Linked DNA regions of Ovis aries. The protein of the gene in region 3 interacts with the protein of the main gene of each other region in a pairwise test. Links are inferred from orthologs where the notes say so. Each region holds a gene or a part of one and is shown on either strand. Other genes may lie near its edges.

Region 1 (4,312 bases), on a different chromosome or scaffold from region 3:
CGAGCTCTCCTGGTGATCCAGCAGATTTTGAGGCATGCTCAAGTTTTAGACCACAGTTGGCAGTAACTTAAGAGCAGTTATCAATACAAACATCAGCTATGAGATATTATGACTGTATCGTTACAATCTAAAATAATCTATAAATATCAACTGTGAAATCATACTTCTATCACGTCATCTTATAGAAGAAACACCTCAGTAGGCATTTTCAATAAAATTAATATAAAATATTAAAATGAAACCAATCATGAACCTTATTTGATTAAAAAAAGAAAACTGTAATTTGCTTCCTCTTCCACTTTGCAGATCCATATTCACTTCAGTATCAGCATTACCACATTTTAATCTTTTTCTACAGATTCAGTTAGAAGCCTTTAAGTGAGGAAGAATACACAGTGGTGCAATTACCAGGAAAGAGTGAGAAATTTTCAGTGTGTGCCAACTGAAATTTTTATGTGAGCAAATACTAGTGTTATTAATGAACTATTAAATAAATATGAAATCTATTGGCTTAAATTAATTCAGCAAGAAGTTGAAACTAAAGTTGCAAAAGGTTATGAAAAAGGCTAAACAATCTGCCTATGCTATTTCCTCTTACTAATCATAGAACTAGTATAAAACTAAGTATCAACATCTATGTATGTTAAATATTTCTCACTTAATTTTCTGATAGGAAAACATCCTTAGAAATTTCAGCTAAGAATACATTTAATGCAATACATTAAAATGATTACAAAACCACTGGGAAAAGATCTAGCTTTGGCTTACTACAAATTTGGCCTAAAAAGGAGCGTCAAGAGCCTGATTGATTACAAATTTCTGCCACAGCCAAGTGTTTACTGAGATAACCTTCTGGTGGAAAATTACTTAATCACAATTCAAGTACAGAATGTTTCAGGTGTGTAGGCACTAGATAATTTTAAGAAGTTTTATTAAAATATTTACAACATATTGAGCTTCTGGTCTATGAGAACCTAAATCACTCTTAACACTGACACTGCACATAAATTTCCATTTCCAATCAAGTATCCTTCCATAAAGTGAATACTGGCAATGTTAGACAGGGCTTTTAAACCTAAACATTCTTTGAACATATATATATATAGCTAAGTTGCTTCAGTCATGTCCAGACTCTGCGACCCCCGTGGACTGTAGCCTATCAGGCTCCTCTGCCCATGGGATTCTCTGGAGGGCAAGAATACTGGAGTGGGGTGCCCTATCCTCCTCAAACATTCTTTACTAAACACTAAGGAGTTGGTGATGGACAGGGAGGCCTGGCATGCTGCGATTCATGGGGTCACAAAGAGTCGGACACGACTGAGCGACTGAACTGAACTGAACTGAAGGACACAATCTCCAACTTTGGAACATTGTGTTTAAAAAAAAAAAAGACTAACATTAAGCACTAACCATGTGCCAGCCAATGTTACTTATTCTCTCACTAATCTTAGTATTCCTAGCCTAGATCTAAGCATATAATATATACTTAACTGGCATTTATTTTTCAAACAAGTAATGATTATTAAGATGAGGGGATTCAAAGACTAAAAAAAAAAAGGTACTGGCCCTCAAGGAGGTTACAAATCGAATTTGGAAACATGAGACGCGAAAAGCTAAACAACCTATAACAATTAAAAATACCACGTGGTAGGGCTGCGATTATTTGCAAAGTCAGTGGCAAAGAAGAATGCTATAAATTCTGACCAGAGAGAGAGTACTATAGACTGCGGTTCCGGTCTCCCGACCAGACGGCGACACTATAGTTCAATTTAAAAAAAGAAAGTGACACAGCACTCATCCCACCCTAAAATTATCATCAGAGGAAGGAATACAATAACTAAAGAGAACGGTGTAAAGAAAACTTCCATACACAGCTTTTAAAGCATACGATGGCCCTGATAAAAGTGAAAACGGGCCGCAGAACACAATCTTTCGCTGGATCTCCAGGACCTCTGAAGGCTCCTGAAACACAGTCTCTCAAGGAGAGCATCCTTCCTCCTTTCTCCCTCAGCTCCCTACGAAGCTTTCCACTGGACAGCCGTCCCAGAAATTTCTCCCAGCATCCGCAGTGACAGCAACTCTCATCTTCCTCTCCCTCCCCTCGCCGGTATCAGACAGTGGCATCTCCCGCCAGGGGAAAAAACGGAGGGCGGGGGGTGGGGGGAGGCAGAATAGGCGAGAAAGCTTGCAGCTAGATTGATTTAAGACGGGAAGAGTAGGTGGGAGGACGCGGGGGTCGAGGGCGGGGTCCTCCCAGCTCCAGCTCCAGTCTCTCGGAGGTCTAGCCAATATCCCACTCCTCCCGCTCCACCCCAGGGCGCGCCCCTCGCCCGCTGGACCTGAACTGGGAGGCGACGAACTCGAGTGACAGCCCCACTACCTGTGCGCCCCCAGCCCCCAGCCCCGTCCCCCAGGCCTGCGGGGAGATGCCTGCCCCCGCCCCACGAGCAGCGGCCCCGGGCTCCTTCTCTGATTCCAGTCCACATCGCCGATGAGTGACAGGTCCCGGGGGAGGCAATCGCCAGCGCTCGCTGGTCGGGACCGCGGGTGCAACCGTGCGCCGAAGCCCTCCAGCACGCACGGGGAGTAGACAGAACGTCCCGGGCGGCCCCAGGGGACCCGGACCAGGCCTGGCCTTCCTCGGTTGCCCCACACCCGGCGGGGGTGGCACTTACTGCGGAGGTTGTGGATCAGCTCCGAGTGGCTGGCGCCGCCGGATTTCCAGGCCATCGCTAAGCACACCCGGAGCAGGTACAGAACCACCTTCAGCGCGGCGACGGTGCCCAGTAGCTTCCCCAAGAGTGAGACCACCTCCCACACGGTCACCGCCCCGTTCTCGTCCCCGCTGGAGCCGCCGCTGTTACTGCCGTCGTCGCTGCTGCCGCCACTGCGCGCTCCCGGCATCCCCCGCGGCACGCATGCGCTCTGTGACGCCGCGCGGCCTCGGGCGCGGCCGGGTGGGGCCGGAGGCGGGGGTGGCTTCGCGACCCGCAGCCCGGGCGAGGGGCCGCTGCGGCTGCCCGAGATTGGCGGCTTGGCCTCGCTGAGTCAGCGCCACCGCCGCCACTGCGTGGCCTTTCTGAGACCTCGGGCTGCGCAGCGCCTCCTTGCTTGGGTTTGCCCTGCGGTCAGGCGGGGTGGGCCGCAGCGCGGTCGGCCGCGTGCCTCGCTGCGGCTCTGGTCACCGAGAGCGGTGGCAGGATGGCAGGGCGGGTCTGGTTCCGAGGCTGCCGGTGGCTCTGCAGTCGTCGCTGGGTCAGCTGTTGCGAGTGGCGGGTCTGCTCCTATAGCTGTCCAGATTGTTAAACGGTGGGCTTCCTCCGTCCTGCCTTCACCCAACCCAATGAATGACTAACATATTTAGGTCGGTTAGAGTCAGAGCTCCCTATGGTGAACACCGAGTATCTTAAACGGAGGGCAAACGTCCTCTCTAACCCGAGTACTCCAGGCTCTAGCTAACAAGTACATTTAGTGGCTGGTTAGCAGAGACTTTGGGACCCTGATTTGTTCTCAGCTCTAAAGCACAAATTCAGAGAGTGGAAGAAGACAGACAAGGGTTGGAGGGTGGAGCACCGAGAATGCTTTGCTCCTTAGGAAAATGCACTTGCTTAAAAACACTACAGTAGCCTGTGGCGACTGTTTTTCTCCTAACACAAGTGGGCGTTTTTAGCTATTTAAGCCTCACAAATTCCACCATTAGACTGGACCCCGGCTTTGCTGCTATCAGCTATGCAAGACACCGAGTGAGAAACTGACAAGGAACATTGCCAGTAGAATCCAACTTGCTGACTCCTAATCAGAACGGAGACTGGAAGGATCCAGTCATTTAGTCCCAATAAACTTTTAAGGAAGGAAACAAAGCTATGTAAAGACATTGATGCTACTGCGTCAGCAACAATGCTCAAATTTTAGTTCTAACCAGACCTTGGCAAATGTGGTGTCTATGTAAGTATGTATGAATATAGTTATATATTAACTATTTCGTGGGATTCTGCGATAATAACCGAAGCAGCATTCTTTACTTCAATATTGGGAATAAATTAGCCAGTTTGGGACTCAAAATTGGAACTGGGGGTCTTCAGAATTACAACTCCAGTTTCTGACCGTGTGTGTTATCATTGAAGAAAAGTACTTGCTTGGGGGGACAGGGAGGGAGAAGTTTTTAATAATACATTGGTACGTTAATGGACGTACTTCCACGAGAATTTAAGGATTTTTAATCTTTTCTATGCGCGGTGAAATGCAAGCCTGCTTAGGTGTAGCTACTAGCTCGTTTCTCTTGCATTGCTTTTATTTTGGTTTTGCTCTTAAA
Region 2 (4,456 bases), on a different chromosome or scaffold from region 3:
CCTGCTCCTTTCAAGCTCACCTGGGGTTCTGCGGGATGCTGAGTTGGTTCTGCACTGCAAGGGCCACGCTGTCACCCTTCTGGAACACCATGTCGTAAGGGCCTTCCCCAAACATCATGGCATATAGCACACAGCCTAGGGACTGAGCATAACTTGGTTATTCCTTGGAAGAGGACCAATGGAGTCATCTCTCTCTGTTTCATTCTGTAGTGAAAGGAGGCTGCAGTATGCAGACTTCAGTCACGTGACACCACCAGGGCCCCAGAGAAACTGCCAGTTAGCTGGAGGCCTCTGCGTCTTGTGCTGAGCCGCTGCCTCCAGCCCTGACATTTAGTTATACTTATCCTGCTCAAAGGGCAAGATTATATCACTTCCTGAGCAACTGAGTACAGTGTCAGTGATAGTTCCCAGGAAGGAAGTCAAGGGGGGATTGGGACATACATGCTTCCTGGGGCCCCATGCATTGGAAACCAAAGACTTGCTCCTCCAGTTCACAGCAGCTACAGAGCAGCACTCCTCCCCTTCCACGTTCCCACCCACACGCTCCTCACCCAAACATCAGTCCGCTCATCGATGACACAGTGGCTTTGCACGGAGAAGAGCTCCGGGGCCCGGTAGGAGATGGTGCACCGCTGGGCTGCCCAGTCCTGGAACAGTGGCCCCAGAGCTCAGAAGCAGGGCACAGGTTTTGGTCATGTGCCCAAACTGGGGCATGGACCAGAAGGGGCTGAGGATGAGGAAGAGATGGGCAAAGGACTCTGGAAACTCTTACCTGGAGGGCCAGAGCCTGGCGGGAGCCCTCCACACGGATGCATGCTTGATTCATGGACCCCAAGTCCATCAGAACTGGCTGCCCCTCATCGCCAAGCAAGATATTGGTGGGTTTCAGGTCCCTGCAGGGAAGTAGAAATGACCCATGAGCATCCCTGAACCAAAAGCCCAAGATCCTAGGGGGAGCAAAAGAATCATGGGGACTGTTCCTGGAGAAGAGCACAGAGATCTCTCATTTCTCTTCATGAGGCTCTTCCTTTCTGTCCAGCAAGTACATGGAGCCTCCCACTGACCTGTGGGCATAACCCTTGGTGTGAATAGCCTCAAGGCCTCTGCAGATACCCAGCAGCAGCTGAATGATTTGCTCTTCAGTCAAGAAGTTGCCTTTGTCCTTCAGCTTTTCTATCTCATTCCACAGCGTACCTCTCTGCAAAACAAGTTTCCCCGCAGCTGATGTTTTTAGCCTCTGCTCCCTGAGCCTGATTCTTTCCCTATGTCAGAATTTATAGCAATTTCACCACACACCCTACAGCCCCAGGTGGGTTCCTTAAACCCCAAATCTGAAATGCTCAAACCAGAACATGACTTCTGCTTCCTAATGTGCTTGAGTGCTCATGATAGCCCTTGGCACACACCGCTCTGTTGCAATCCCATCCATAGCCAGGAGACTTTCTGACCTTGAAGAAGGGTAGCAGCAGCCAGGCCTCATGTTTAGTGCCTCGCTCTCTCAGACAATAAGCCACGAGGTGAAGGATGTTGGGGTGATGGAAGAGGCGATGCATGTCTGCTTCTCGTTGGGCCTCCTCCCGGTCCTGCTGCTCATGACACAGGATTCGCTTCAGGGCGTAGAACTGTCCATCATGCAACCCCTCCACTAGGTCCACAAAGCTGAACCCACTGTGGGCCAAAGGGGTCAGTGAAGGACCAAGGTCATCTCCCATACTGCTGGGATCCAGAGGAATTCCCTGGGAAGAAGTGCGAGGGGAGGGGGGGGTGTCTCCCGTTTACTAGCAACCCTCCCAAGGTGTGACTCTAAAAAGAAGTCTGAAGATTATTCACATAGAGCAAGGACACAGTCACTTTCTAGGTCCTATGGTCTTAATGCAGGGCTTCAATAAATACTAAATAGATAACAGCCAACCTTTATCAAGTGCTATTTATCAGGCAATAGGGGAGACACTTGATACGAATTATCTCATTTAGTCCTCACAGCCCCATCATTGAAGCAAAATTAGCTCTAATAAGCAGATAAAGCAACTAGGGCTTATCAAGGCCATACATGGTGACTCTAGGAAGACTGGTTCCACAATCCACTTTCTTGACTACCAAGGAGCTGGGCTCCGGCCGGTGAATTAGAGGCTCTGTGCCCCTATCTTGTGCTGACTGCTGTCCTTCAAACACCACAATTCTTGGGACTAAATGATTTCCAAAACACTCACCCCTCCCCCAGTTTATGGATGAAGAGGTAGCGCTTATGGTCAATGGTGACAGTTCCCCGAGAGCAGATGCAAAGCGCGTGGCCCATAGTGTCTCAGTCATCCTTCTCAAGGACGGTCTGAAGCTGCCAAAGGGTTCGTCCAGGTCGAGTGGTCTCTTTCAGGCAAGTTGCTGGGGCTCCAGCAGATCATGCTGGAAGGAAAAGAATGGCAGGTCATGGGCGGGGCACAATCCAGATGACCCCCCCCTAAAGGGCCAACGTGAAGCGCTCAGGCCCAGGTCTCCAAACCTAGAGAAAATAAGCCCTGGCAACGCCCGCTCCAAGAAGGCTCGGGTCAGGTGCCTTAAAAGGGCCCAGGCCCCTCGGCGACTCCCAGGCCACTTCCTCCAACCCCGGCCCACCTTCAGGCAGCCCCTCACTCGCACACCCCGTTGGGCTGTAGAGGCAGGGCACGGGGTAGATCCGGAGAGGAATGCGAGGCCTGGACCCACCGCTTGCAGAACCCACTCCGGGTCTCGGTCTGGGTGGGCCAGCCAGGACACCACACTCACCCGGCTTCAGCGGGAGGGAAGCGCCAGGGGCCGGAAGCAGTAGTACGTCATCAGTCCGCGCCGGCGTAACGGCCCGCAGTATCCTAGCAACCGCTGAGCACTAGGACGATGTGGGGGCGTGGAGCTGAGAGGCCGGGGGCGGGTTAGGCCTGGGGGAGAAGGGGTCCCAGGACCCGGGTGAGGGTTCCCCACCTGGCCTGCAGTGAGGGTCAAGACGCAGGCACCTACGTCAAAGGGGAGCAAAGCCGGGCTCGGCCCGAGGCCCCCAGGACCTGCCTCTCCCAATGCCAGAGGTAGGAGGCGTCATACCTCCCGTGCACCGGGTGGCCGACTGGGGTCCAGCCTGGAGGTGGATGCTCAGAGGGGGCGGGAGCTGGCAGTTTGCACCCCTTTGCAGCTCTGATCAGTACAACCTTGGGGGCTCTGGCCTGTATCTTATTACCGTAATCACAGTAGTTAAGAGCTCAAGCTCTTCAACTAGACTAGGGTCGGAATCTTAATAGCCCATTAGCTGTGTCACCTGGACAAGTTACTTAGCCTCTAGGAACCTCACTTTCCTTAACTGTAAAATAGGTGTAAGAGTACCTAAAGTTAAATGCATGAACTCTGAGGCCAGACTGCCTCATTCAAATCCCAGCTCTACTAAACTAGTTATGTGACCTTGTTAACGGGCTAATATTTCTATCCTCCAATCACCTCATCAGTAAAATGGAGATTATTATCTACTTCATGGAGTTGTTTGAAGATTAAATGAGAGGTGAAGTGCTTACTATAGCGATTGATGCATAGCCCTGAGTAGTGTCCATAAGCAGAAATAACAATAATAACTATCCTGGTCTTCACATCCCAGGCTTGGGACTGTGAAGGCAGTGAGTGATGGAAATTCACAAATTTCCAAACCTTGGAACTTTGATGTCTCTTGCCCAGGCAGGGGTAAATTGGAAAGGGGCGCACATCCAAAGATGATAGGATGGCCTAGATGGTCTCTTTTGTTGAAACAGGACAGGATTCTCTAGGAAGAAGATTCCTCTTGTAACCTGATCCCCACCCCAACTCCCACTCCCCTTTCATATACTGAGAAAATATCCTCTGGTTTCCCTTGGGTCTGAACCTAGATCTGACATTCATCTAGATTTAACCTGCTGTGTACTGAGCCCTGTGATAGCAGCAGAGGACTCAGGATGGACAAGGCTCTCCCTATCCTCAGGGGGCTCAGTGTAGCAGAAATCTACTTCTCGATCCTGAATGTGCTCAGAGCACCCGGAAATCTTGTTGAAATACAACTTCTGATTCTACAGGTCTGAGGTAGGGTCTGAGACTCTGCATTTCTAACAAGCTCCCATGATGAAGCTGGTTCATGAACCAGTAGCAAGATATAGAGGGGTTTACAAACTAGTAGAGTAGCAGGCAGTTGCAGGCTGGAGACAAAGTCCAGGCTAATCGCCTGACAACTTGCAGTGGTCTCCGCCCACTTGCTCGCTGAGGTTCTCTCCCAGGAATCTGCCACGTGACCGTCGGACCACCGTCTCTGACTGGAAGAGCCCCGAAAGCGCCATGGCTCCCAAGAAACCTCTCTGCCTTCCCTCCCTGCTGCTCCCGCTCCTGACGCTGCTGCTGCCCCAGGTAGGATGGGAGAATCGAACCAGCCGCTGGGTGCGGTGAGACAGGCGGAGGAGAGAGTGAAAGTGAAAACAAC
Region 3 (4,303 bases):
TGAGAGTTGGACCATAAAGAAGGCTGAGTGTGCAAGAATTGATGCTTTTGAACTATGGTGCTGGAGAAGACTCTTGAGAGTCCCTTGGACAGCAAGGAGATCAAACCAGTCCGTCCCAAAGGAAACCAACCCTGAATATTCATTGGCAGGACTGATGCTGAAGCTGAAGCTCCAGTACTTTGGACACCTGAATGTTAAGAGCCAACTCATTGGAAATGACCCTGATGCTCGGAAAGATTGAGGGCAGGAGGAGGAGGGGGACAGAGGAGGAGATGACTGGATGGCATCACTGACTGGACGGACATGAGTTTGAGCAAACTCTGGGAGATGGTGAAGAATAGGAAATCCTGGCAGGCTGCAGTTCATGGGGTCGCAGAGCCCTGACGTGGTTGAGCTACTTGAACACCAACGCTTGACTACATTTCCAAGACCAAAAAGACATGTATGTACTGGCCGCCTCCCTTATCTTTTTGGAATAGTTCCACAGAGGTGAAATGTTATTTCCCCAGCTATAGTCCCAAGTAAGCTGCCAGAATAAAACTGAAACTCACTTTACTTACATTGTACTTTTTTTCAGTTGACAAGCACAGCAAGACACTTTATAGGTAGGGAAGAAAAGAGAGTTGTTAGTTCAACGACAGTCCTTTTTGAGTCAATAATTTCTATAGGTCACACATAGGCGTCGAGCCAAGCTCCATCTGGAGGGAACCGCGGCATCCAATGCTGCGCAGGGCAGAACAAAACCTAAGGCTGGGGCTTCTAAATCTGTAGCCCTGCTCCTGTGGAAGGAGGTCTAAATGTGGACTAAAGCGTGAGCCGCTGTCCGCAGGTGCGCTTCCCCGGGGAGTCCGTCTAGAGAAGTCACTCCCAAAAGGACATTTCCATAAAAGCGACTGCCCTGAGGCCTCGTACACCGCCACGTTCTTACGGCTAGAAAATCCAACAGGATTAGATCCAAAACGTCCATCTCAGACACGGGGGCAAATAAAAAATACTCTAGCCTTGATCCATCCGGGGATGCTTGCTCTGTACGAGCCGTCACAACAAAGTCGTCTTTGATTTGCGCACCCGGTCGCGGAGCACTGTGGGGCTGGTAGTCCAGGCTGGGGCGCGGCTTCCGGTCACTGAAGACCTAGAACTACATTTCCCAGAAAGTACCGCGCCTCAGCGGAAGCGGACCTTGTACGTGGGCTTCAAGACTTCCGGCGGAGCCGGGGGGCGGGACCCGTGGCGGAGGCTGGAGCGAGGCGGAGGGATGCAGCGCCCCGGGCCCTTCAGCACCCTCTACGGGCGGGTCCTGGCCCCGCTGCCCGGGCGGGCCGGGGGCGCGGCCTCTGGCGGAGGCGGGAACAGCTGGAGCGTTCCGGGTTCCCACGTGCAGTTGTCGGGACGCTCGCAGTTCGGCGCTGGCAGCACCAGTACCGGCGGCAGGGAGACTAACACCGTCTGTCCGGGCCCGTCCGCGATGTCAAAGGCCGAGGAGGCCAAGAAGCTGGCTGGCCGCGCGGCCGTGGAGAACCACGTGAAGGTGAGCAATTCAGGGCTTGGGCGCCCGTGCTGGGCGGTATGGGCTCTTGCTGTGGGTTCTGAGCGCTGCCAGGTGCGCCAAGTTCCTGGCAGAGCGGGGGCTGCGTGAGAGGGGAGAGAGTACGCACTTGACCTGCCTTGAGACCTGCTCCTTCAAGGCCTTTGAAATATGGAATTGGTTGGGGCCGAGTACCCTAAAGTTCAGCTGTCTAACGACTGCTTGTCAGGCCAGATAACAGTTTGCCAAGTGGAGCGTGGTGGTGTGTCTGATGTTCGGAGTGGGGTTAGGAGGGACTTAGCGCCTGGCTTCCTTATCAACAGATAAAAGACTGGGACTGCCGAGAAGTGTTCACCTCGCTTCACTGCCCAGGGAAGTCGGTGGGGAGCTGATTTGAAAAGTGTTTTGAAATTTAACTCCAGGGAAGTGCTTAGCTGGGCGCGCACCGGCTCTTGAATGTACTTGCCGGAGGAAAGCGGAGAAGGAGCCAAAGACTTTAAACCTCCTCCTTTTGGCAGGGCTCGGGTGGACACTTGAAGTCTGGAGATCCTCTTTAAGGTCGGGATGTGGAGATGTTTAGCTGTTATTGTGAGGTCGTAATGTAATGTCAGTGAGGTCGTGACCCCACTTGTTGGCTAAGTGGCGGGTGTGGTCCTCTTGGTGGAGTCTTTTGGATTTGCTGTCAACAATCATGTTAATTGTAAGAATTTTGGGAGCTGGGAGCCAAGTGGAGTATCTCTGCCCTTAGGTGGAGTTTCCTGGGTTTCATTGGCTTTTAGTGTTTTCTGCTTTCTGGAAAGTGGTATCAGATTCTCTTTTCTCAAATAATGGTTCTTTATTCTTTACATTTGGTAATGCTTTCGTGTACGAAGTTATTTTGCTGGATAGATGTTAGATCCTCCTACAGCCTGGCCAAGTGGGAGGGCCGCGTGGTAACCTGTGGCTCAGCGTGTTCTGTAGGAGGAATGACCAAGTATCCTCCCAGACCCAAACCCAGTGACTCCTGTTCCAGTGCCCTTCCCCCAGTTACATAGCTGCCCTGTTCTGGTGTAATAGTCTGGTTAGCAATAGGAATTTCTATGGGACACAGAGATAATGTGGAATGTGTCATCTGGCTCTCCTTTTGGGATTTAGTGTCTCAGCTGCAACATTGGGACAATCGGCTGAAATTTTAAATGCCTCTAGAAAGTGAATGGTAATGGGCAAATGAAATCTATACAAATAGAAAAGACCTGTATGTTAGATTTCCTATTATCCTATTACTATTATGTCTTCCTGACCATTGTGGTTTTTTTTTTAAATTACGTATTTGGTTAAATAAAAATTTGCAAGCCCCCACCTCAGGCCAGAGCCCCCAGCCACCTGTTGCCTGAAGTTGCCAGACCATCCTGGGGAGATCTCCATTGACCTTTTGGCATTCACCCCAGTCTCAGTTAACACTATTTGCCTTTGCAGACTTCTTTCCTGAGATGTCAACACTATTTGAATGTTTTTTTAAAATAATCTTATTTATTTATTATTTATTTTTGGCTGTGCAGGGTCACTGCTCCAGCTGCTTTTCTAGTTGGTGGTGAGCCGGGGCTGCTCTCTAGTTGCAGTGTGCAGACTTCTCATTGCAGTGGGTTCTCTTGTTGCAGAGCATGGACTCTAGGGCACAGTTTTCAGTAGTTGCAGTTCCTAGGCTTTAGAGCACAGGCTCAATAGCTGGGACGGACAGGCTTAGTTGCTCTCCTGGGATCTTCCTGGACCAGAGATGGAGCCTGTGTCCCCTGCATTGGCAGGTGGATTCTTTATTAGTGAGCCGCCAGCGAAGTCCTGTATTTTGTACTTCTTACCACTGATTCATTCATTTCATTCCTGTGCGGGAACTTGTTGAGTGCCTGCTATGTGTCAGGTAGTTGGTGTGGAGGCCAGAGATGTGGCTAAAGGGAGGAGAAGATGCTGATCCTGGATATTTTGCAAACAAGATCACTGAATTCCAAGACAAGGTTATTGATCACAGTCCTGTACCTGATTGTCAAGGTTTAGCAGCCCTCTCCAGGGTTATCCTTTTTCTCCATCTAAGGCCAAATTTTCCTTTAGCACTTTGTGTCTTGAAATTGTTCCCTTGCTACCCAACTCAGATTTGACTGCTCACCCCTTGAAAGACAAGTTTGCTTTCAAAAGAAAACTTGGGAAAGAAAAAATTGCTTTGTTCTGGAGGCTGGCAACCTGGCGAGAAGGCCGACTTCTAGAACCTACTTTACTAAGGTGAAAGGGGACGTTAATTGCAGTTAATCATTTAGGAAGGGGGTCAGAGTCTTATCTTCCACTGTGTGTAGACCTTCTGATTGGCTGATGGTGAGGTAACTGTGTGGTGGTTAGCAGCTTTCTACTTGATTGGGGCCTTAGTTCCTGTGGAAGAACTCAGAGACTGTTGTCATGTATATTCCTTGAGGAGGAACCAGGCCCTTGCCTCATGGCTTTGTTTCTTGACTGCTCCTCCCTTGCTTCTGCATTCCTTATCTTACCTGAATGGTGACTGCTTGTATCTGTCCTTTGGAACTCAGGGAAGGTCAAGGAGGCTGTATGAAGCCTGTTTCCTACAAACAACAAACAGGGCACAAGCGCCTGCTCAGTTTTATACTCAGTTTGTGTAAGTTTATCAAGGTAGCTTCTGTGCCAGGTCCTATTGGTTGCACCTTTGGAATGTTCTTAGAACTGACCCTTCCTGTGGACCAGCTTTGTCTGTTTAGGTTTTCCCTGTCTCTTCTGACCAGCCAAGTGATGCATTGTCAT
Region 4 (3,826 bases), on a different chromosome or scaffold from region 3:
TAATGGGTGAAAAACAACTGATGCAGATGCTGGTATGGAGCAAGGGCTCAATAAAAGGGAGCTTTTATAGAACTGAATAAATAATGTTTCACACGCATCTACTTGCCCAACATATACCAACTTTCCCCAGTATAATCATGAAGCCTAAACTTGGGAACTGGCACCTACAAACTCTGGTGCGGAGGCCATGGGCCTGGCTTCTAGAAGCCTGAATGGGGAGCGGTCCAAATATTCTGAAACAAACAGGTATGTTGTCAGGGGGAAAAAAATACACCATATTTCCATGGAAAACAAGAAGAGGATCACAATCAAAGAGATGAATCCTAAAATAACTGCATGAACAGAGAAAACCAATCAAACACTACCAGACTAAGGGTGCCTTAAGAATAAGGACTGTGTTCACCACCCCCTGCCCCACCACCCCAGTACCTGGTGGTCCCACAGGATCTAGAAGAAATATACTTTGGGGTCAAAGTGTCCCTTAATGCCACAAACAGGCATTAAATTTTTCCCACAGTTAAAGAGCTGTGGCTTGGGCTGGGCAAGTACAAACAAGCACCCTGGGCGTTGAGAGATGATGGGACAGGTGACATCCTAGAGGTGGAGGGGCCAGTCACCTGCAGTGAACCACCACGGGCCCCGCATCCACAATGCTCTCCTGCTTGTGGTGAACCTCCTCCAGAAAGTCCAGCACGCCCCCCGGGTCACTGGGCACGCCGTGGTCCGGCCAGGTCCGAAAGTGGTATTGCCAGACCGTTCTCTCTGTATTCCCCTGGAGTAAAGCCAAGAAAAACCAGAAAAGAATTAAATAAATCAAGGGGTTGAGACATCGTCCGGGTCCTATCTTTCCCAGATCCTCCGTGAGCCAGGAGGACCAGGCCAGCACCGCCTCCAGACACTCCGTTCACAGGTCCCCCCGACAAGTTCCCCAGACCTCTCCTCCTCCTGGGTCTGGCTGAGCAATCCTGGAGGCTGGAACCCATTGCCTCCGTCCAAAGAAACAAGATGTCTCTTATAGCAGTTTGTTCTTGAGGAAACGACAGCCAGCATTCGTGCCTGCCCTGTCAGCCAGCGGCAGAGGAGGTCCCTGTTCCCCCTCCGCCGAGCACAGCTGCACGTGGGAGACAGCAGAGCCCTCTGGGACTCGGGGGCTCTCCTCCCACCACCTGAGAAAGGGGAATTCCCTCCAGACATCTGCTCGTCTCTGTCTTTTTGTACCTGGCCCGCCTCTCCTGCAACATGCACTTTTATTATAATTATTTCAACTTCCATTTTGGTGCAGAGCAGGTAAGACAGGCTTTGCAATCAGGTGGGTGGATTCAGGCCCCAACCCCAGCATTCACGCTCACTGTGGTCCTTGGACATCTCTAAGCCTCAAACCCCTCATGTGTGGATGGGCATAAGACTCTCTACCACAATTATCACTGTGAGGACTAAATAAGACCAGTTAAACGGAGAGCCACTGTGAAGCAGACAGGAAGAGACTCAGCACGCTGGTGCTCTTCTGAGGACTGACATTAATAAAGGTCAACAAGGGTACTGAGACTACGAAAAACTAAAAGGCATCGTGTTCTGGGTTCACCCAATTAGGTCACTATTTGTCACTGTGTCTTCTTCCTACATTATCTGGAGACTACATAAGCTAAGTAACATTTTTAAAGGGGATTTTGAAAAAAGGAAAGAGAGAGAATAACCAGACCAGTATCCACCACCTGTGACCTTCAGAACATCCAAGGAATCTGAACCGCAGTCAAGATCTTTTCGGGAATTATGTGCATTTAGTTTGCTGAGTCATGAAAAAGGATTTTTCTGGAGGTTACCAGTGAGCTAAAACTCAGGGGGTTCCCAGGGTCACAGAAAGGACAGGGAATGAGAGAGACCCAGCTGCCCTGAGCATCCTTGTTCCTCCTCCTATATAAATGGCCACTGAGGTCTTGGTCCCACTCCTCCTTCCCAGGCGATTAGGAGGCTTAAATGAGATCATCTGATAGCACTTTAAAAAAAATGGAGCATGCTATACAAAAAGCAGATAACCCGTGACCAGTAATCCTGGAGAAATGATTGGCCTTGTGTCAGCACCTGCACCCACAAGTGCAAAACACAAACCCAAACACCAACATTCCCTGTACCTGGTACTCCCAAATCTCTGCTAACAAGAAGACGGATGGTTTATCAAAAAAAAAAAAAAAAAAACAAAACCTGAAGAAAAATCCACCTGCTACTGAGAAACACCTGATAAAGAGAAGACGAGTCGTTTACCACTACAGCTGAAGAAAAATCTATCTGAAATCTTTGTCTGATGTTCTCTAAATCTCTAATTTCTGCTTGACAGAGACATTCTTCCAGCTTCCCCACACAGTCTCGCAATCGACCTAACCTCCCTCTTACCTCTCCCTGCCAGCAACAGAACGGCACATCAGAAGTTCCGACCCTGGACCACAGCCGCTGAGGCTCCTGGCTCACTCAGGTCCCCAGACCACCTCATGAAACTCACCAGAGGACAGTCCCTCCTCTGCCCTCCGCATGCCTCCTCCCGCCCCGGCTGCCCAGCTATGACTCCGTGCACTCTCTCCATCACGGATCTGCACTCCCCCAACCCTCTCTCCACCCGCTGCTGAGGAACCCCAGCACCTTAGGTGGGTGTGACAGCGGGTGTCTGCTCGATGGCATAGGGACTTGTACCATGGCTTCTCGTGGCTACATGACTACAATTCCTTGAGGACAAAGGCTGTTTCATTCACCTCTGTGTCCCAAGAGGCCCCTGAATAAGTAAGCCTGTCTCACCATGATATCATGATGAATCCAAATCACGCTGGATGCAAAGTTAGTCACCCCAGATGTACACATATTGGTGACTCCCTTTGCTGTCCACCTGAAAGTATCACAACATTGCTGACAGTCTATACTTCAATACAACATAAAAAGTTAAAAAAAAAAAAAGAAACAAACATAGTCATCCCAGGGACAAAACTGAACTACGTACAATTACAAGCTGACACATGGAACATGAGCACTAAAATAGGCCTCAGGGCCTTTGCACTTGCTGCTCCTTTTGCTTGGAACTCTCCTCTCCCGAGCCTCAGATGCTGCTCCACCTTCAGGTCTCAGCTTGCCTGGCACCCCCCGAAAGAGGTCCTCCCTGCTTACTCCACTTCATTCTCTAACACACCACACTGTGGCGTTCATAGCCCCAGCACAACTGGAAAGCTTGGTTGGTTATTTACTCCTTAGCCTCCCACCTCCCTAGGCTCTGTGGGGAAAGGGACCGTGCAGATCTGGTTTGCCATGTACCAGTCCAGTACCTTGCGGCTCCCCAAGTGGCTCAGATGGTAAAGAATCAACCTGCAATGCAAGAGACCTGGGTTCGATCCCTGGGTCAGGAAGATCTCCTGGAGAAGGGAATGGCAACCCACCCCAGTATTCTTGCCTGGTGAATTCCAAGGGCAGAGGAGCCTGGCGGGCTACAGTCACAAAGAGTCAGGCACAACTGAGTGGCTAACACAATGACAACGAAACAAGTACCTCGGTGGTACCTGGCACACAGAGGGCGTCCACAACTGGATGTTATTCAGTGAGTGAACAAATGCCTGGAGGTATGCAGACAGGAGTGACCGCACGACCCTGGATTAGCACACCCCCTGTGCAGTTACCAGACTGTCTAAAGTACGACAGTATACTTACTTGTCCAACCTTCGAGAGTTTAAGTTCTCTTAAGGTATAGTCGTGAGCGGCACTTTCCTTGACGTTCCTAACACGCATGACTCCGTATTCTTTTAGTGCATACTCGTCAGGCCAGTATTTGACACATTTACTCTGGAAGGAGTCC

What was found.
Region 1: the proteins of RPIA (region 3) and PCMT1 interact in binary tests that used the Homo sapiens proteins (3 or more experiments, as listed by UniProt). The two-hybrid records come from large-scale screens. The link is inferred for Ovis aries from reciprocal best matches to the Homo sapiens genes RPIA and PCMT1.
Region 2: the proteins of RPIA (region 3) and STK16 interact in binary tests that used the Homo sapiens proteins (3 or more experiments, as listed by UniProt). The two-hybrid records come from large-scale screens. The link is inferred for Ovis aries from reciprocal best matches to the Homo sapiens genes RPIA and STK16.
Region 4: the proteins of RPIA (region 3) and PTPN11 interact in binary tests that used the Homo sapiens proteins (3 or more experiments, as listed by UniProt). The two-hybrid records come from large-scale screens. The link is inferred for Ovis aries from reciprocal best matches to the Homo sapiens genes RPIA and PTPN11.

What each region holds. Positions count from the first base shown.
Region 1 is NC_056061.1:74,009,871-74,014,182, reverse strand, and holds the start of PCMT1 (protein-L-isoaspartate(D-aspartate) O-methyltransferase), read right to left. Parts: upstream 2,912-4,312; 5' UTR 2,905-2,911; coding exon 2,676-2,904; intron 1-2,675. UniProt on the Homo sapiens protein: Initiates the repair of damaged proteins by catalyzing methyl esterification of L-isoaspartyl and D-aspartyl residues produced by spontaneous isomerization and racemization of L-aspartyl and L-asparaginyl residues in aging peptides and proteins.
Region 2 is NC_056055.1:221,192,796-221,197,251, reverse strand, and holds the start of STK16 (serine/threonine-protein kinase 16), read right to left. Parts: upstream 2,807-4,456; 5' UTR 2,761-2,806; exon of another isoform or gene 2,611-2,760; intron 2,401-2,610; 5' UTR 2,297-2,400; coding exon 2,211-2,296; intron 1,737-2,210; exon of another isoform or gene 1,713-1,736; coding exon of another isoform or gene 1,669-1,712; coding exon 1,449-1,668; intron 1,199-1,448; coding exon 1,065-1,198; intron 894-1,064; coding exon 773-893; intron 648-772; coding exon 552-647; intron 143-551; coding exon 21-142; intron 1-20. Other genes in the region: GLB1L (beta-galactosidase-1-like protein), read left to right, coding at 4,315-4,383. UniProt on the Homo sapiens protein: Membrane-associated protein kinase that phosphorylates on serine and threonine residues. In vitro substrates include DRG1, ENO1 and EIF4EBP1. Also autophosphorylates. May be involved in secretory vesicle trafficking or intracellular signaling.
Region 3 is NC_056056.1:59,367,229-59,371,531, forward strand, and holds the start of RPIA (ribose-5-phosphate isomerase), read left to right. Parts: upstream 1-1,223; 5' UTR 1,224-1,255; coding exon 1,256-1,528; intron 1,529-4,303. UniProt on the Homo sapiens protein: Catalyzes the reversible conversion of ribose-5-phosphate to ribulose 5-phosphate and participates in the first step of the non-oxidative branch of the pentose phosphate pathway.
Region 4 is NC_056070.1:61,910,791-61,914,616, forward strand, and holds part of PTPN11 (tyrosine-protein phosphatase non-receptor type 11), read right to left. Parts: intron 3,814-3,826; coding exon 3,681-3,813; intron 784-3,680; coding exon 618-783; intron 1-617. UniProt on the Homo sapiens protein: Acts downstream of various receptor and cytoplasmic protein tyrosine kinases to participate in the signal transduction from the cell surface to the nucleus. Positively regulates MAPK signal transduction pathway. Dephosphorylates GAB1, ARHGAP35 and EGFR.